Caenorhabditis elegans: one gene and its partners. The protein of the gene in region 2 purifies or fractionates together with the protein of the main gene of each other region. This does not show direct contact. Each region holds a gene or a part of one and is shown on either strand. Other genes may lie near its edges.

Region 1 (2,755 bases), on a different chromosome or scaffold from region 2:
AGCTTCAATTCTTCTTGAACTTCTTTCTTTTTTGTTTTCATTTCGTCGAAATTCGAAATTGAAACGAAACGGAATGGAGGCTGGAATAAAATTTGATGATATTTATCAATTAATTTTTTTTCTTCATTTAAAAGTTCAGTATGATATTGCCACGGGAAATTTGAATTTTTTCAAAAATTTATAAATTTATAAATAAATTTTTTTTGAATGAAAATAATCTTCCACATTTCAGAATAAACCATACCTCAGATCCGTTGCTGACGTAGTTCTGATTTGACTCCATCTTCGGCGCTTCCGCTTCCATCTTGTTGCTCATTGCAGCCTGATTATCCGATGAATCTGTCACATGTGGCTCGATTTTAGGCTCGCTCTTCGGATTGTGCTGCTTTCTCCTCGGATCTTTTGGAGCGCCCATCTTGTTGTAAGCTCTCGCCTGGAAAATTACGTTGAGAAATGGAGGAAGTTCAGTGAAATCGGAGGTTACACTCACTTTCATGAGCACTGATTCTATCGCAAAATCAACCGAATTCTGAGATGAGACTTTTTTTAAAATTTTAAATGAATAAAACACTTACTCTATCCATTTCGGAAACCGATTCATGGGAATTGCCATTCAAATGATTTTGAGGAGCTGCGACGCTTGCTTCCTGTAATCAATATCATTGAATAATCGCAGAAAAATAAAAAATCGTACAGAAACTAATGGCGTTTGATGCTCAGTAGAGGAAAGAGCCGGTTGAGAGGCTGTGTATGACATTCCTGGCTCGCCGATTGCCGATTCGTGATTCTTATGGTCGGAATGCTGATCCATCATTAGAAGTGCTGATTGGTCTCGAGAAAACTCGTTTTTTTGTATATTTATATCATTACCATCCATTTGGAATGTGTAGATTCTGGAAAACAACGATTTTTAACGGAAAACTCGAAAACTTCAACGAATAGTCGATTGAAAGGGAAACAACGGACAAAATAACATGAAAATAGCTTCGAAATGTTTAAATTTATTTCTGTTACAACATTTTTCAATAAAAAACTCCAGAAAAATGATGGAAAACTGAAATATATGCTGAAAAAACTGTAAGCCTCGAGGAGATGTGAAGAAGAAGAGAAACGAGACGCAGCATGCGAAACAAGAGACACTGCGAAACGGGGGAACGTGAGTCGCGATGAAATTTACGAGTTTGTGGGATTAAATACTAATTAGTAGATAAACTTTAAGATGAAAATATCAATATTGATTAGTTGAATTGATTGCAATTCTGAATACAAAAAATTTTTAACGAGAAAATCAATTTCTGCCTGTCCACTTCCGGGTTTTGGTGTCTCGCATTCACCGTTCACTCGCTTCGCAGTGTCTCCGTCTTTCTCACCTTCCGTATTCTCACACTTGGCACGTAGCCAAGCGGCTGGTCTCGCAACGATTGTTTTTGTTTTCCGTCAGCCGTCTCTGCGCCTTTAACCTCTCACAGCCTGCCGATTATTTTTTAAGCAGATTTTTACTATTTTTCAGCTTTCAAGCTTCATCCATTAGCAAAATCAAATAATTTTTTGATTCATTGTGTAGAATTAACGATTTTCGTATAGTTTCTGTTTTTATAACCGCCTGAATCGTATTCTCTGTTTCGTTTTCTATGGATTATCATGCTTGCTCAATTACTCTGTAAATTTAAACGATTTATTGCAGGATGCTGAACCGTGCTGTGCTCTCCTTGGCTAGAAGCCAACATGTCATCCGTCGCTCGCTTCACAAGGGAGTTGACTCGACCCCACCACTCCGTTTCACCTCTGTCAGCGAGAAGGTAATTTTTTATTTGCTAAATGTCTTGAACTTATCCTTGTGAGCAGTAAAACTTAAAATACCACTAGCTCACCAAAAAAAACTAAATTTCAGTTTGTACATTCGTTTGAATGGATTTGAAAAATTAATTTCTGAACTAAAAGATACAGTTTTGAAATTTGTCTCACTTTTAATTTAGCTGCTCAAAAACATATTTATCCAGATATCCATATTATTCACTATAACACCAATTTTTTCAGGTTGCCCTTTACGGACTCATCTGCGTCGCTTTCATGGCATACCCAACTTCCGTCCTCTTCAGACTTGATAGTCTTCGCCCAAGACCGGATAATGCTCTCTCCCCAGAAGTCCAAGAAGAGATTGACGCCCGTGTTGCCGCCCGCAGACAGTAGAAGTAATATTATGCCACGAGCCATTGTGTAGACTTTTGAGAACAACAATAAATCGATTCTTGTTTTCTCTTCGCTTTTTCTCAATTTTATTCGCTGTCAAATGTGGTTTATCCATCCATGAAAGATAAATGTTCGATTCGGTTTTTCATTTAGAATTTTTTTGATAATTGTTTTAAAGATGGTACGTCAATTCACCTGGAGAGGAACGATTTCTCAGCCGTTCGCGATTAAACTTTTCAAAGGAATTTGGAATTCACATCCAAGATTCGCAACTCGAACAGTAATGGTGCAGAACAATGATGTCGATGGAGCTTTCGGACTTCTTAACAGGTTTTCTTTGGAAAAATTCCCAGAACATAATTTCAAGATTGAAATAATTTCAGATTGATGGATTCAGAAGGAATGCTGAAAATCATTCGCCGCACTCAATTCTATCAGAAGCCCTACATGCAACGAAAAACACTGTCGATGGAAGCATCAACGGCGATTTTCAACGAGGACATGAACCGGAAAATGAAATTTCTCGTTCGAAAAAATCGTCCCGACAAGCATCCCGGACAAGTGA
Region 2 (10,571 bases):
CTGTTCCAAACGTCATTCCAACGGAAATTCCATCGATACTATCGCAAGCAATTGACCAGGATGTTCTGCTCGACGAGCTAGTTCGCACTCGTCATAACCGACTCAACACCGAGTTGTTTGATGCTCAGCACGAAGAAAATAATGAGGACAACGCTCCATCGCCGTCGGTGATTGTTGAAGAAAAGCTGGAAGATGTGATGACCAAGAAAATGTCTTGTGTGAATATGGAGTCGATGAATCCAGATGGCATTGAGCACATCTTGGCCAGCGTCGAGCCAGATGATATGGTGCTTCCAGAGTATAATTTAGCAGATGGAGAATACCAGTGAGTTTTAAACTGAGCTTTTACTGATCAAATTGAGTTAGTTTTAGAATGAGCCAAGGAGATGTCTTGCACCTTGCTATCAACGTATTCGAGAAGTCGTCAGAGAAAATCATCGAATGTTTCAAAGTGATCGAGAGCTTCCACTCGGACAACATGAAGCTTCGCTACCTTGTTATGACCAACTACAACGTCTACGTCTTCAAATACCGAACTCACACGCAGAATTCGTCGCCAGGAAAAACAACAAACCTCTCGTCAGAAGGATTTTTCATCCCACTGTTCCGCATGCCACACGATCGGATCAAGACCATCAAGGTAAGCATTTCCAGCTCTTCTGTGCAATTTTAAAAACCCTGTGATTGATATCATGGCATTTTTACACGTGAACAGTCAAAAATGGTCAAAATCACATTTTCATGAAATTCAGCTTTAACTTTTTTCAGATCAGCGTTGATAACTTGTCATTCATGTTGGAAGCCAATGAGGAAGGCTTCAGCCACTATGTGCACAGCGAGGAGAAAGATGACCAGACAGTTTTCGCGTACGTCGGCTCAATGGCTGGATTGGAGAGCGGTGCACACATGATCAACTCGCTCATCAACCTCGTCGAGCACAGCAGTCGCCAGATTACGAACCATGCCGAAGTTGACGACCACATTGGATATATGTGCATGCTTCAGCCAAATTTAGAGAAGCAACTCGGACGCACAATTGATGTTCGTGCTGCGACGCTGTGCTTCTGGTACGAACAGACGTATGAGGAGCGTGAACGATCGACTGCAACAAAATCCGGTTTTTTGTTCAAATCGAACATTGGGAACTGGATTAAGAGCTCCGACGAGGCTGAGCAGAAGTACTGCATGATTGTTGGCAACAATTTTAATGTGTTTGCCGACTCGACCTGCAAGACCGAAGAATTGGTGATTAGCTTAAGGTTAGTAAAATCAGCTTTTGTGCATTAGACAACTCAATAAAATATATATAATTTGATAATTTTCAGTGGCTCCAGTATCAATAGCACAGGAAGAGTTGCTTTCCAAATGAAAGCTGCAGAAGGTACATTTGAGTTTGAGTGCCCAACCCAGGAGGATCAAATCGAATGGACCAGAATCCTGACAATGATTGCGGAGAATAAGACGACGCAGCCATACATGGCATCTTGCCTTGCAGTAGTCACGGAGACCTGCATCGCACTGGTTCAAGAGGGCGAAAAGTTCTGGTCCGATGGATTCTTGCGCCTTCTCAACGAAGTTGGAGGTATTAACGTCAAGCAATCGGTAGTTGTTCGTCAGCCGGAGGATAAGGAGAGCTTCTTTGGGAATCGCTCGCCTGCGCTTTGCTTGGTCACCAAAGACGATACCATTCATTACTTCTTCGTCCGATTCGATAAGGAGCTGGAACGGCTTGCGTCTGCTGTTCAAAGCAGTTACGGTGTCCGTTGGGCAAAGCTTGATGATGATTTGATTAAGGTATGTTAATAGAGAAACTTAGTAACTAATTAAATATAATTTCTAGACACCGATTGGAAAAATCATCCATAACACTTGCTGCTCCGCCAACACGCTGTGGCCAGTCTAATTCGCATCTCCATTTCTTTACTCATCAAGAGTTAACTCCATGATAATCGCTACCTGGTCCGGGTACCCATTGTACTTTTGTACTTTTTTTGTCCCAATTTTCCCCATACACATTCATTTCCATTTCAGCCTTAACACTTATAAAGTAGCTCAGTAGCTCATGTCATCTCCTCTTCCCACCTTCAACTCTGTTCCTTCGAACTTGTCTCATTTAATTGTAGTCTATCGCGGGCCCATTTGTGCAGAGCCCCCGGTGCTTCTGTTCGTCACGGCTAATAACTGTTAATTTCCCAGATTTCTTTCAACCCACCTTTTTGTTGTTGTTATCCTGCACATTTCAATGCTCACACCCCAAACTAGATTATACGGAATTTCATGTTTTTACACGTTTAAGTTGTCATTCTTTCCCGCTTCTCCCGAACGTTTCAAAGCCTAACTCTCACATTTACAATTCACTTATTCACCCTCGGTATATGTATAAGCTTATTCGAGCTTACTTTTTTTTTCTGTCTGTTTTTGATTACGTGAATAATTTCTTTATTTTTTTGTTCATTGAACAAACAAATTTCAAAGTCTAGTACCTTTTATTGACAGCAAAAAAATAGTCATATGAGACGGAAAACAAATTGACCAAAAAATAACAAAATGCGTTCGTCTACTGGAGTAAAATCATTTAATTTAACTAGATGCTCACAGAGTATCAACATATGGGACTTCTGAGACATTTCCATAACTGGCCAACGACAACTTGGTAGTCAATTTCTTGGCGGCAACTTCAACATCACTAGCCGACACATTTGGAATCTGTTGAATGTAATTGTCTTGGGACTGGAAGAGTTGGGAGGCTCTCTCGATGGCAAAGTTGTCGGAATGAGCAGAGGCTCTCAAGGCGTTGTTGAAGGCCTGCTTCTTGACGGCTGAAAGTTGAAATTAATACAAAAACCGATTAAGTCGGTAACGTCACAGTAGTTTGAAATTACCATCAACCTAAAAATCTGCAATTAGTTTTGTGCTAGAAATATTCCATTTCGCTTAAATTTTACGACAAGGTTAGCATAGTTTAGCTTTAGTCTAGTTTAGTTAAGTTCAACTCTACCACAAGAACACAATTTATATTTTGGGTTTTCAGTATAGGCCTCTAAAAATCATATTTATACAAAAGCCCTTCTCTAAGGCGGCTCAAATTGTAAATCTACATACAAAAATGTCAAGTATTAGGTCGTGAAAAAAGTTTTCTCCGAAAATTTTGAAAGTTTTGCCCCGGAAAGTTCTGCAGCTTTCTGGACTATTTTATTATAGAATGTTGTAGAACATCCTAGAAGCATATCTTTATTTAATTTTTATTTTTTTTTATAATTTCAGAAATATCGATGTACAAAAATAGTGTGATCCCATTTTATCAAATTTATACTCTAAAAAACAAAATTTCTTACCTTCAATATCAGCGACCTTCAAAGACTTCAATGCTCCAACTACATTCGAAACAGCTTGGTTAGCCTGGCTTCCTTCAACGACAAGGTATACTCCGGCCAGTCCACTATCCGCATGAACAGCTTGGAATGCGCTGGCCGATCCATTCTGTCCGACGGCTTTTGCGATGACTCCAGTGGTTCCGGTGTTGAATCTGAAATTAATCATTTCAAGTGTGAACATTGTAATTCCTTTTTTGTATTACTTGACTGGTGATGAATTTCCAAGTGCGGTGAGGAGAACTGCTTGGGTGGCCAATGCTTTCGTGTTGTTTCCGGCAGCTCCTTCTCCAGCGACAATCACATGCGCGTACTTCGAATCGGCATCTCTGCGCACTTCTCCTCCCTAGGTGTCAGAAAAGGTGAGAAATGATAGTATAGATAACATAAACAGTGGAGTGGATAATGAAATTGAAATTTGCAAAGTTTTTCTGTTCTATTTCCAAATCCAAAATGAGTGATTGCATTTTTTCGGGGAAAGAAACAATAGTAGCAAGTTTTTTCCTCTTCATGCCAAAGGTATACTGAATATCCGTCGCATTGCGATATCTGTCATACGACTAGGACCGGTAATTTTTTATCGGCGCGTTCTTCCCGATCTGTTGCGTGTCTAAGTTTCTAAGTTTTCCCAGCCTCCCCCTTGCCCTTGCAAGTTCTTGCCGGCTTTCGAGTTTTTTCGGAGAAAAATGTATAAAAAAGTGTTCACCAAAGCAATACACAACATTGTTCTCAACGATGTCTACTCTTGGCTATATTGGGGCAGGCGTCTGCTTGCTCGGAGTTTTCTCCGCTCTTTGCTCAATTGGACATATTGTTCAAGATATTAACAACCTTCGTTCCGAAGTTGAAGGACGCGTTGATGAGTTCAAAGTTCTTGCCGATGATACTTGGGATCGTCTCCTGATTCTTCAATCTCCAACAGGAGAATCTGCCAATCCAGTGCCATCCCTCCTCCGTAACAAGAGATTTGTGTACCCAGGAATGTGCAATTGCGACAGCAACTCTCAAGGATGCCCAGCAGGAGCACCAGGACCACCAGGAAACCCAGGAAAGCGTGGAGACGAAGGACATCCAGGAGATGAAGGAAGACGTGGAGCCAGTGGTATCTCTCTTGCAACCACTCACGATATTCCAGGAGGATGCATTAAATGCCCAGAGGGACCAGCTGGACCACCAGGGCCTGATGGAGACTCTGGACCAGAAGGATTCCCAGGACTTCAAGGGCAATCCGGACCATCCGGTGAAGATGGAGCCCCAGGACAGGAGGGAGCCCCAGGAGATCAAGGAGAACAAGGACCAAAGGGATACGATGGGACCGACGGACCAGACGGACAGCCAGGAACCACATACTTCCCAGGACAAGCTGGACAGCCAGGAGAGCCAGGATGGTTGGGAGAGCCAGGACTTCCAGGACAACATGGAGAGCCAGGAAAGGACGGAGAGGAGGGACCACAAGGAGCACCAGGAACTCCAGGAAACGCTGGTCACGACGCCTTCCCAGGAACCCCGGGACAAGCTGGAAAGCCAGGAGCTCCAGGTAAAATTTTTGTTGTTGTTACTAGGAATTTCTTGAACAAACAGTGATGAAACATTTTAAATTGTTTCAGGAAAAGATGCCAACTACTGCCCATGCCCACAAAGACAAGACGACAGAACCCCACCATCATCTGGAACATCCGCTCCACAGCCACCACCACGTGGATCCACTGCTGCTCCAGGAACTCGTGCTCCACCAGCAACTCGCGCTCCACCAGCAACTCGTGCTCCACCAGCAACCACCCGCGCTCCACCAGCAACAACTCGTCCAGCACCAGCTTCACAGCCACCAGTCAGAGAGCCAGAGACTCCAGATTCTGGATACCCATCCCCAGCTCCACAAGAGCCAGCTCATCCATCACCAAGCTACCCGTCTCCAAGCTATCCATCTCCAAGCTATCCATCCCCAAGCTACCCATCTCCGAGCTACCCATCCCCAAGCTATCCAGCTGAGCCAGCTTATTCCGTCCCACCACCAGCCAAGCCAGAGCAGCCATCAGGAGGATACGATGCTCCATCTCCACCACAAACTGGAAGCTACCAGAGACGTTGGTAGATGCGTGACACTTCTCATGACATTATTTATGACTTTGTTATCCAACTCCACTGAATAAATATTCGTTTTCAAGAACTCACCTTGTAAGCACTTGAAGATGGGGACGCAGCGTTTCCACTTCTGATTGGGGCGTGATTGTCTCCATAGAGAAGAAGGTCATCGTGAACAGCATTAGTGGCAAACAATACTCCGTTTCCTGTGACGAAGTGCTGCTCCTGAAATTTTAAAATTGAAAACTTGCAGATAAGAATAAGCAACTTACTGCAAATGAGGACAAAGTTGATGTGCAGATCGATCCAATTTTAGAGCATGGTGCATAGATTGAGTTTCCAAGTCCTCCATTTCTAAAAAAAAAAGTTTTGCTCAATGAATTCTCGAAAGCTTCTCAATGCCAAACCTGTAAGCGGCCTTGTGAATCTGGTCAACAACCAAGTCGTAAGCGGTTCTGTATCCGTTGTCAGCGCGCATAGTTGGCAGCACATCCTCGACTTCCCATGGCTTGAATCCTGGGTTACCAGCGACTTGTCCCAATACGGAAAGTCCGACGGAAGTGCTTTCGCGTGGAATTGTGAGGGAGACTCCGAAAAGATCGCGGGAGGTGAAGGATTTCTGAAACATCACCCTCGCTATGTCTGTGAGACTTTTTGGAATGCTCATGAAAATTTGATAATTTTGCTCCAAGTTAATTAGACCACATTTTTTCTGAAATTTTGATACAAAATACTTAATTCCAAATTTTTTTTCTAACAAATCTTTTCTAAAAAAAACTGTGAATGTATTATGCAATCTTTCTTCAAATTTACATTAAAATTCTTAGTTCTTTTCTAACGCCCAGTAGATTCAACTTTATCGATTTTTTTTTCTTGCTCACCAGAACTCCTCCGGTCTGTGACAACGTCCATACAACTGTGTTTCCAAAGTATTCCTGGGTATCTCTGCCGACGAAATTTCTGATGGTATGAGAGAGTCCGGCCTGGTTGGCTTTTTCGTAGCGACTTCCAGCTCTGAAGGCAAGAACCTAAAATTTGAAGATGATTTCGGATAGAAGAAACAAATTAAAAAAAAACCAAATGTGCAATTGGTTTGTGAGAGTCGATAGTTCCAACGGTCAATCCATTTCCAAGTTTGGCCACTTTTTCGACTGGTTTTGTCGTTGCTGCCTTATGGGCTCCGCGAACAGCTCCAATGTTGCGGCTAAGCATTCTGAAAAAACTAGATTTTCAAAGAAAAACTAGATAATTTTCAAAAATTGGGTAAAATTGAACAATACGGTTATAAAAAGTGCATAATTTATCAAATTTATTCATTTTTTGTTTAAATATTAAATGGAAAACTAAAAATAACTTCATTTTTCACAAAAATAGGTCCAAAAAATGAGAGACGCCTTTCCCGACTCATTGCTGACGCATCCCTTCTCGCTTGCGCGTTTCGTGCGCACATACGTCACTGGCCAAATGGCATGAAACGACGAGGACTATGAACACTTTATTACGGCAAAAATTAATAAACGAATAATTGAAATTTTTTTAGTTTTTACGAAGCATGTTTTGATAGAACATGTAAGACATGAATGGAACTGTTGTTTGACAAGCGGATTGACGGTTTTCCACGCGGTGGAATTAATTTGAGTTGTGGTTGCTGGCGGTCCTGAAAAAATATATTTGAAAACTAAAAAAATGATATAAATTTTGTGAGGTTTTTTTCGAGAGGAAAAGTTTGATTACAAATTTTTCAGTTTCAGCAAAAATTATGTTTTCCTATAATTTTTACAAAACTAACAAAATGTGCTTAAACCAAGTTAGGATATTTCTGAAGACATTAAAGGTGGTGTAGTCGAATTTTTTTATTGCTTTATTAGACTCAAAATTGTCTGGAAATGCCAAATTTCATAATGAAACTTCTTGAAAACTTCTTTTTAAAAAAAGTTATGACGGCTCACAAAATGGCCCAAAATTCGCTAGAATAACGGCGAGATTTTTAAATTATTTTAAACCAAATCTTGCCTTCCATCGACTTTAAAGTACCTAAATAAAGTTGAAAACACAAGATAATTACACGGTTTATTCAAAATTTGACGGTAATTTCAAAAAAAAATTGTTTCCAGCCGCTGCGACATAGGCAAGTCGGTCAAATTTCAAAATTTAACTAATTTTAGGTCACTTTTTCACGCGTCATAACTTTTTTTTGAGAAGTTTTCAAGAAGTTTCATTATGAAATTCGGTGTTTTCAGACAATTTCAAGTCTAATAAAGCATTAAAAATATTCGACTACACAACCTTTAATAGGATTCGGGAATCACCAAGTCTTGCCATCAAATTTGTACAATAAGAAATAAAGTTAATTTTTTTCAAATTCTAGTATAAATTAGGGAAAATTTATAGATTCACTTACATTCGACTTCACTTTCACAACAAATGCTCTTCTTCGTTTATCGGAACGTATTGGCCGAGTATAACGATAAAGTGATAGGAGGCGTTCCGAGGCTGAAGATGACTGCTCTAACATTAAAATTACTTGCGCCCACTGGAAAGTAAAATGGTGAAACTTGAAAATAAAATGTTGAAGTATAAAAAAATCACCTGACGCTTCCATTCTTTCTCAGTTTCGGCAATTTTCTCATAAGTACGAGTCATCATAGCAATTAGTAGATTCAGAAGCATAACAGTCACAATTAACTCGAAGAGGATGAAAAATACCTTAAAACGAGCTTGTAAGCCTGAAAAGAGCTTTTTTTGTAACCTTGGACTGTGGAGCAATGCTGCTTTTGCACTCGTTCAAGTTTTTATAAAGTGCACCAAATTCTCCCACACTCATAATAAACATTCTCATCACTGCCTCCCAACCATCTTCCATGATGTTTTCAAATCTAAAAAACATTAGGTAGTATAAAATCGTGATAAGAAATGTTTTCTTACTTCTCAATATATTCATCGTCTTCAGTATAGTTATGAGCTTTCTGATAAGCAATTTCTGCTCTCTCACAGGATTTGAATATAACAAAAAATGCTGGAAAATACTTCGACAATTGAAATTATGAAAACACTCACCTTGTGCAAATCCCATTAAGAAAAACGAGTATATAAGCAAAAATCGCAGCATATCTCTCACAATAATTTTGTACACCATCAACACAAATGGCCCGACAAATTTAAGACTTCTGAAAAACTTTGTCATAAGTTCAAACTTGTATCTTCAAACTTCTAAAAGACAAACCTGCAATAAAAAAGAAAATGCAAAGTACTCATGATTACAATGCACACCACTAGCAAGTTCTCAATGACTAGAAAACTATCGTCCAAATAACATCCAACACGGAGTGGAACTGTGCATAACACAAGAATTTGGCAGAACTTATGGAGAACTTTCTCAGGGAAGGCCTTCTGAAATTTAACGAGAAATTCGGAGAGGAGGATAGTTCAGGTACGTACAATAGAGTTCCACCAGCGAGAAACACCTGTTCGGTGAGCATCAATGCAGTCTTTAAATGTTCGGATTACTACTGCGAGTAGACACAGAATTTCACTTATCATGCGAATCTGAATGAGAAAGAAAGAATTAAGTGCTAGTAGGATCGAAACCCAACATGTTGTAGTTACTACAAGATGTTTGGAATTTTCCATTTACCATCAAAATTTTTTCCAATTTGACCTCCAGCCAATCTAAAGTAAAAAAAAATGCCTAACGTTTCAAAAAGAATCATTATATGGTTAGACATATTAATAATAATTATGAATAGCATTACAGTGAGTCCATGATTATACTGGTACTCAATAATTGTCGAATTTTGGGCTTGGAAAAAAAATCCGGACACCAACCAATATCATCCGCCCACATCTCATGAGTTCGGCGCCCTGCAGCGTTCACTTTAGCAAGATAAGACGCTGAACTCTCGGCGCACTTTCACGGTAAACACTGTGGGGCGCGAAACTCGTGAGATGTCGGCGGCTGACATTGGTTGGGGGTCAGGATTTTTGGCTTTTCGCCGTGATTTTCCTAAAGAACTGTGTACTTCGAAGAACAAATTTTTCACTGTGGGGCTGGGACTGAGCCCCACTAAAGAGGCTTTTTCGTCTAAAAACTATTCTAATAAATAGTGTTACAAATACTGTACCAGTTGAAAAGTTTTATTTTGTGGGCCACACTCTATAGTCGATTTTTTTTCTATAAAATACCCTGCCTTTTACCTGTTGCGATGGTCCTGAATAATCCCAAAGATGGCAGTGTGCTGGTAGAGCTTCTCTTTCTGCCATTCTCGCAATTGCTAAATGTTCTCTCAAACTTAACCCCTCGCTGAGAATATTTGTGAAATTTGAGAAATCTAGTTCAATCATTCCAAACTTTTCATTTTCGTCCTCATCACTTGGCTTCAAATGTTCATGTGTTTTCATTTATTAACTAGCATTTACTCACGAGAATGTGGGCATCTCTGGTCATGAAAGCGAGATAAAACACCGCCAGAAAGTATATATATCCAGCGAGTGACATAAAAAGTTGTTTTTTGCCGAAAGTCTCCCACTTGCTCTCCAAGACTTCCTCAATGAGCCCATCAAAAAACTCCAAATGATCCACTTTGTCCTGTATAGAGCACATGTAGTGTGTTCAAGAAGAAAGCAAACAAGTACAAAAATGACTCACTCCGTACACTACATTCGCTATAACTGAGTTTGGGTTGAGCGAGCCATCACTTTCGTTGATAGTGTCCACATCATTAAGTGGATAGGCCTTACAGACCACCGGTCCATACCTCCATGAAATGTCCATGTCACATTCCAATATCAAATCGTAAATATGCTTCTTTGCCAGTCTAGCTGCCAATGCTAAAGGCGTAAGCTTTAAATTGTTTCTCACGTGCAAATTAGCGCCGAGTTCCACTGCCAACATGAACATTTCAGGTAGATCATGTATAACTGTCAGATGAAGCACCGTGTTACCATTGGTGTCCGGCATGTTGGGATCGGCTTTCATCGCGCGAAGGAGCCGAAAGCAATCCACTTGGTTTGTGCACGCCGCGAATGACAACGGGTACTCGCCCCAGTACATTTGTCTTCAAATATTGTTACTTTATGATCTTTCTTCTCTCTTTTTTTTTTTGCTCTTTTTTCTAGCTT
Region 3 (4,809 bases), on a different chromosome or scaffold from region 2:
AAATGAATTTATTTATCGAAAATAAGCTTTTTAAGTTATTTTCAGAAAATTAGATTTTTTTTTTGATTTTCTCTGAAAAAAAAATCGATTTTTACCGATAACAGCTCAAAAAGCATTAAAAATTCATAAAAAGTAAAATGTTGCCGAACAATTTTTTATTCCAAACCAGGGGTGTGCGGCAAATTTGCCGATTTGCCGAAAATTGCCGACTTGCCGAATTCGGCAAATTTAAAAAAACCAGCAATTGCCGATTTGCCGAGCTCGGCAATTTTCAAAAAAGTAGATTTTCCGAATTTGCCGAGCTCGGCAAATTTCGAAATTTGCCGCACACGTGAAAAATTTGACAGTACAATTTTGAATAAAACTATTGATTTTTTAGCCAAAAATTTAGTAAAATGACACAAAATTGAGCTATTTTGATGCTTAAACAGACATACTACGCGGAACTTATTCAGAAACCAGATGTGTGTTAAGAATTCAGTAGTTTTGGTGCTCCACAAAACATAAAAAATATCAAATTTTTCCGAGTTTGTTAAGCACGGCAAATTTGCCGAATTTGCCGAATTTGCCGAGCTCTGCAAATTTGCCGAATTTGCCGTGCTCGGCAAATATTGAAAAAAGAGATTTGCCGAATTTGCCGAGCTCGGCAAATTTTGAAAAACCAGCAATTGCCGATTTGCCGAGCTCGGCAATTTTTTCCATTTGCCGCACACCCCTGTTCCAAACTAGACTACACAATTTTCAACTTTTTAATTATCAAAATTCAAAAAATCTGTAAATTTTCGATTTTTTTCAGAGAAAATTGAAAAATATCGATTTTTTCTCCAAAAAAAGTGAAAAATGGCCAAAAATACAATTTTTTTTTCGACATTCGAAAAATATCGATTCTTCTTCAAAATTTTCAAAGCTATGTCTTCCAAAAAATTCGTTTCAAAACTCCGTACATCGTTGATTTTCGGAATAACCCGCAGAAGCTCGCCAGTCCGATGCGAAAGCACAATATTCGATCCGGTCGCATCCATCACATCAACACTTTCAGTCTTTCTAGTCTCCCAGGGCCGGGCCGTAAACGCGTACTGCTTGCTGGTAAGAGCTCCGACCGGACAAATATCGATAATATTCCCAGAGAGCTCTGAAGCAAAAAATTTCTCGACGTAGGTGCCAATTTGAAGATCTTGTCCTCGTCCGGTGGTGCCGAAATCCGGAAAAGCGGCCACTTCATTAGCGAATCGGACACATCGAGTACACTGAATACATCGAGTCATCACAGTTTTCACCAACGGCCCGATATTCTTATCCTCGAGAGCCCGTTTTCCATCGAATCTCGACTGAAGCCGCCCACGATCGGATCCGAAATTCATCGCCTGATCCTGTAGATCACATTCGCCACCTTGATCACAAATCGGGCAGTCGAGTGGATGGTTGTTGAGCATGAACTCCATCACCCCTTCGCGAGCTTTTTTCACGAAATCCGAGTTGGTTTTGACTTTCATTCCGTTCATGACAGGCATCGCACATGATGCGACAGGCTTCACCGACTTCTCCACCTCTACCAGACACATTCGGCAGTTTCCGGCAATTGAGAGACGGTCGTGATAGCAGAAGCGTGGGATGTCGACGCCGACGAGCGCGCACGCTTGGAGAATCGTCATTCCCGGGTCGACGAGCACTTTTTTGTCGTCGATGAAGACTTCGACCTGGAAGAAAATGAGGTGATTTTTAGTGGTTTTTTTGTTGATTTTTACAGGGAAAATCGAAAAATTTCGATTTTTTTTATTTGAAAATCGAAAAAAAATTTTTTTTTTAAGTTTTTTGTTTTCGGAAAATGGAAGAAATTTGTTTCGTTTTTTTTTTTTTTTAATTGAAAAAAATGTTGGGTTTTTAGGTTCCGGAAAATCGAAAAATATATATTTACGATATATTTTTAAAAATTGAAAAAAAAACGAATTTTCGATTTTTTACAGGAAAAATCATCGAAAAAATTCTGATTTTTTGAACTGAAAGCTAAATTTTTAGATTTTTTACAGGAAAATTAGATTTTTTAAAATTGAAAAACGTAATTTTTCGATTTTTTTTTAATTGAAAAACGTGCTTTTTTCATTTTATGTTTTTTTTGTTGATAAATTTAAAAACGAAATGTTTCGATCATTTTAATTGAAAAAAAAAATTAGATTTTTTACAGGAAAAATCGAATAATTTTTATTTTTTTGTAAAAAAAATTGTCAGAGAAAATCGAGCATTTAAAAAAAAATTCGATGTTTACAGGAAAAATCGAAAAAATTCCGATTTTTGAACCGAAAAACTAAATTTTTGATTTTTTTACAGGAAATAACGATTTTTTTTTCAATTGAAAAACGAAGAAATTTAGATTTTTGTTTAAATTAAATAACGTACTTTTTCGATTTGTTCTTTTTTCGGAAATTAAAAAAACTAAATTTTCCGTTTTTTAAAGGAAAAATCTAAAAATTTTTGATTTTTCGAACCGAAAAACGGAATTTTTCGATTTTTTTAATTGAAAAACGAAAACATTTTTGATTTTAGTAAAACATCATTGCACCATGTATTTTGTAAAATTTTCAATTAATAATTAGTGCCAAAATATAGAAAATCACTCGATTCATCGAGAAAATCACATTAATTTCGGATGAAACAGTTGAGAAAAAGCTCAAAACTGTCTTTTTGAGCGCTTTCTCCAACATTTCAGCTAAAATCAAAGTGATTTTCCGATAAATCGAGCGATTTTCTATATTCTGGCACTAATTTTAAATGGAAAATGATGGAAAATTGGAGATTGTAGATGAAATTAAGCTTTTTTTTTGAATTTCTCGCTAGTTAATTCGTTATTTTTTTGCCAAATCCATTTTTCTTCAATTTTTCCGCCGAAAATTCCAGTTTTTTCACCTTTTTCGGTGGAGCCGGAGCCGCCACCGAAAGCGATCTCTTCTGTTGAGCCTTCGACACTCCGCGGACAATTTGTCCACCGACGCGATGCATGGTGCTCTGAAATTGCAATTACTTCCTGAAATTTTTTCCGAAAAATTGAGAGAAAATAAATATAAATCTCGGTAGAAAATTAACCGAATTTCAATTTTTAGAGGAAAAAAAATCAATAAATACCATTTAAACCACCGAATATACAAGAAATAGGGCAAAAAAAAAGAATAAATAATTAATAATTAATTACAACCAAGTTTTAGCTAGTTTTAGCTAGTTTTTAGCGAAAAAAATCGAAAAAAATCAGAAAAAATCCCGTTTGTTAGCATCATTAGCAGGCGAAAGTAAAAATAAAAAATTTTTCGAAAAACTTTTTTTTTCGTTGGGGAATGAGTAGACATTGAATATTACACAGAAAGGGAAGGATATGCACATTTTTTTCAAAAAAAAAAATTTTTTAGACGTGTGGAAGACGAGAATCTTCGACGGCGACGCGAATATTCGGATTGGCCATTGGATCGAAAAGGGGGTCCGATGAGTGCTCGCCGCTGTATCCGGCACGCTTCATCACCATTATAATCTGGAAAAATACAATTTATTTGGAATTAAATGAAGTTAGAATCTAAATTTGCTTGATAAGACTCATAAACACTCAAAATTTGCTTAAAAAGCCATAAAATTCGCTCAAAAATACTCAAAATTCACTCAAAAAAAGTCAAACTTTGATCAAAAAGCCTTAACATTTCCTTCAAAAATACTCAAAAATTGCTCTAAAATACTCAAAAAATTGCTCAAAAAGACAATAAATTTGCTCAAAAAGCCTTAAAATTTGATCAAAATGACTCAAAATTTGCGAAATTTGATTAAAAACACTCAAAATTTGCTCAAAAAGCTCAAAATTCGCTTAAAAATACTCAAAATCGCTCAATTTTAGCTAAAATACACCAATTTCGCCGACTTTTCCGTGTCGCAGCGGTCGGAAATTGACTTATATTTTATTTTCATGAAATTTCATCGTTTATTTTATATTTTTATTGTTTATTACACATTTTTTCGCTATTTAATGTACATTTTAAGCCACACGGCAGACGTTGAGCGCAAAAAATTGTGGGCGGGGTCTGGACCGCAATTCTGCGGCGCGCGATTTCGCAACTCCGCCGCGCTGTTTTTTTGTCAGTCGAAATTTTTTTTTCATGAGATTTTATCGAAATATCTCGAAAAAATCACGATATACTGGAAATTTTATTCGAAAAATGCGAAAAAAAACTTAAAAACTTGTAAAAAATAGTCGCGCGGTGGAGTTGCGAAACATCGCGCCGCAGGATTGCGGTTTAGGCTCCGCCCTCACGTCGTTTTCGGTTTATATGCTTCAAATGTACACTAAATAACGAAAAAAACGTGAGAAAAACGATAAAAATTGAAAATAAACTGTGATAAAATCAAATAAAAGCGAATTTCCGACAGATGCAACACGGAAAAGTCGGCGAAATTGATGTATTTTAGCTAAAATTAGGCCATTTTTTCAGGGAAAAAATATTTTTTTGGCGTTTTTGAGTCTATAAAAGTCGCTTTTTAAAATCCAACCGTAATCAAAGCCAAAACGGCCAGGAAAATCACGAAAAGCGCGATTTTTTTCGCGGAAGCCCGTTCCTGTGGGACCCCGGAGCCGCCATGTTTTGCTCTCCAGAGCCCGCGCATCCAATCCATCGTCGGGCGCCGTTTATATTTATTCTCCTCGTTATCGGCGTCACGGAGCTGTAAAAGTGGACGAGTATCGCTTGAAGATTCGGCTCCGTAGTTCTTTTTTCGCGCAAAAGTGACGTCATTGTTGGAGACCGAGTAGGAAGCGGTGTCTTCCATTTCCAGATGGGTTGC

Evidence for each region. Proteins that work in one complex are often made in the same cells at the same time.
Region 1: the proteins of ucr-2.2 (region 2) and F29B9.11 fractionate together in Caenorhabditis elegans (co-fractionation; one large-scale study listed by BioGRID). This does not show direct contact.
Region 3: the proteins of ucr-2.2 (region 2) and nuo-5 fractionate together in Caenorhabditis elegans (co-fractionation; one large-scale study listed by BioGRID). This does not show direct contact.

What each region holds. Positions count from the first base shown.
Region 1 is NC_003282.8:4,659,131-4,661,885, reverse strand, and holds F29B9.11 (Cytochrome c oxidase polypeptide VIIc), read left to right. Parts: upstream 1-1,684; 5' UTR 1,685-1,685; coding exon 1,686-1,799; intron 1,800-2,037; coding exon 2,038-2,190; 3' UTR 2,191-2,255; downstream 2,256-2,755. Other genes in the region: jmjd-1.2 (JmjC domain-containing protein), read right to left, coding at 1-80, 245-529, 576-647, 695-877; mrps-21 (Mitochondrial Ribosomal Protein, Small), read left to right, coding at 2,369-2,520, 2,574-2,755.
Region 2 is NC_003284.9:15,169,999-15,180,569, reverse strand, and holds ucr-2.2 (Peptidase M16 N-terminal domain-containing protein), read right to left. Parts: upstream 6,667-10,571; 5' UTR 6,666-6,666; coding exon 6,531-6,665; intron 6,482-6,530; coding exon 6,335-6,481; intron 6,073-6,334; coding exon 5,861-6,072; intron 5,808-5,860; coding exon 5,726-5,807; intron 5,679-5,725; coding exon 5,544-5,678; intron 5,539-5,543; exon of another isoform or gene 5,464-5,538; coding exon of another isoform or gene 4,979-5,463; intron 4,909-4,978; coding exon of another isoform or gene 4,107-4,908; exon of another isoform or gene 4,089-4,106; intron 3,718-4,088; coding exon 3,578-3,717; intron 3,527-3,577; coding exon 3,336-3,526; intron 2,820-3,335; coding exon 2,593-2,819; 3' UTR 2,425-2,592; downstream 1-2,424. Other genes in the region: pkhm-2 (PH domain-containing protein), read left to right, coding at 1-325, 367-640, 769-1,259, 1,326-1,794, 1,841-1,903; col-41 (Nematode cuticle collagen N-terminal domain-containing protein), read left to right, coding at 4,107-4,908, 4,979-5,463; ocr-3 (Ion transport domain-containing protein), read right to left, coding at 6,997-7,110, 7,855-7,986, 8,043-8,159, 8,203-8,329, 8,379-8,469, 8,511-8,620, 8,677-8,843, 8,892-8,999 and 3 more.
Region 3 is NC_003283.11:2,697,163-2,701,971, reverse strand, and holds the start of nuo-5 (NADH-ubiquinone oxidoreductase 75 kDa subunit, mitochondrial), read right to left. Parts: upstream 3,001-4,809; 5' UTR 2,995-3,000; coding exon 2,902-2,994; intron 1,698-2,901; coding exon 945-1,697; intron 1-944. Other genes in the region: Y45G12B.2 (Zinc finger protein-like 1 homolog), read right to left, coding at 3,392-3,514, 4,519-4,809.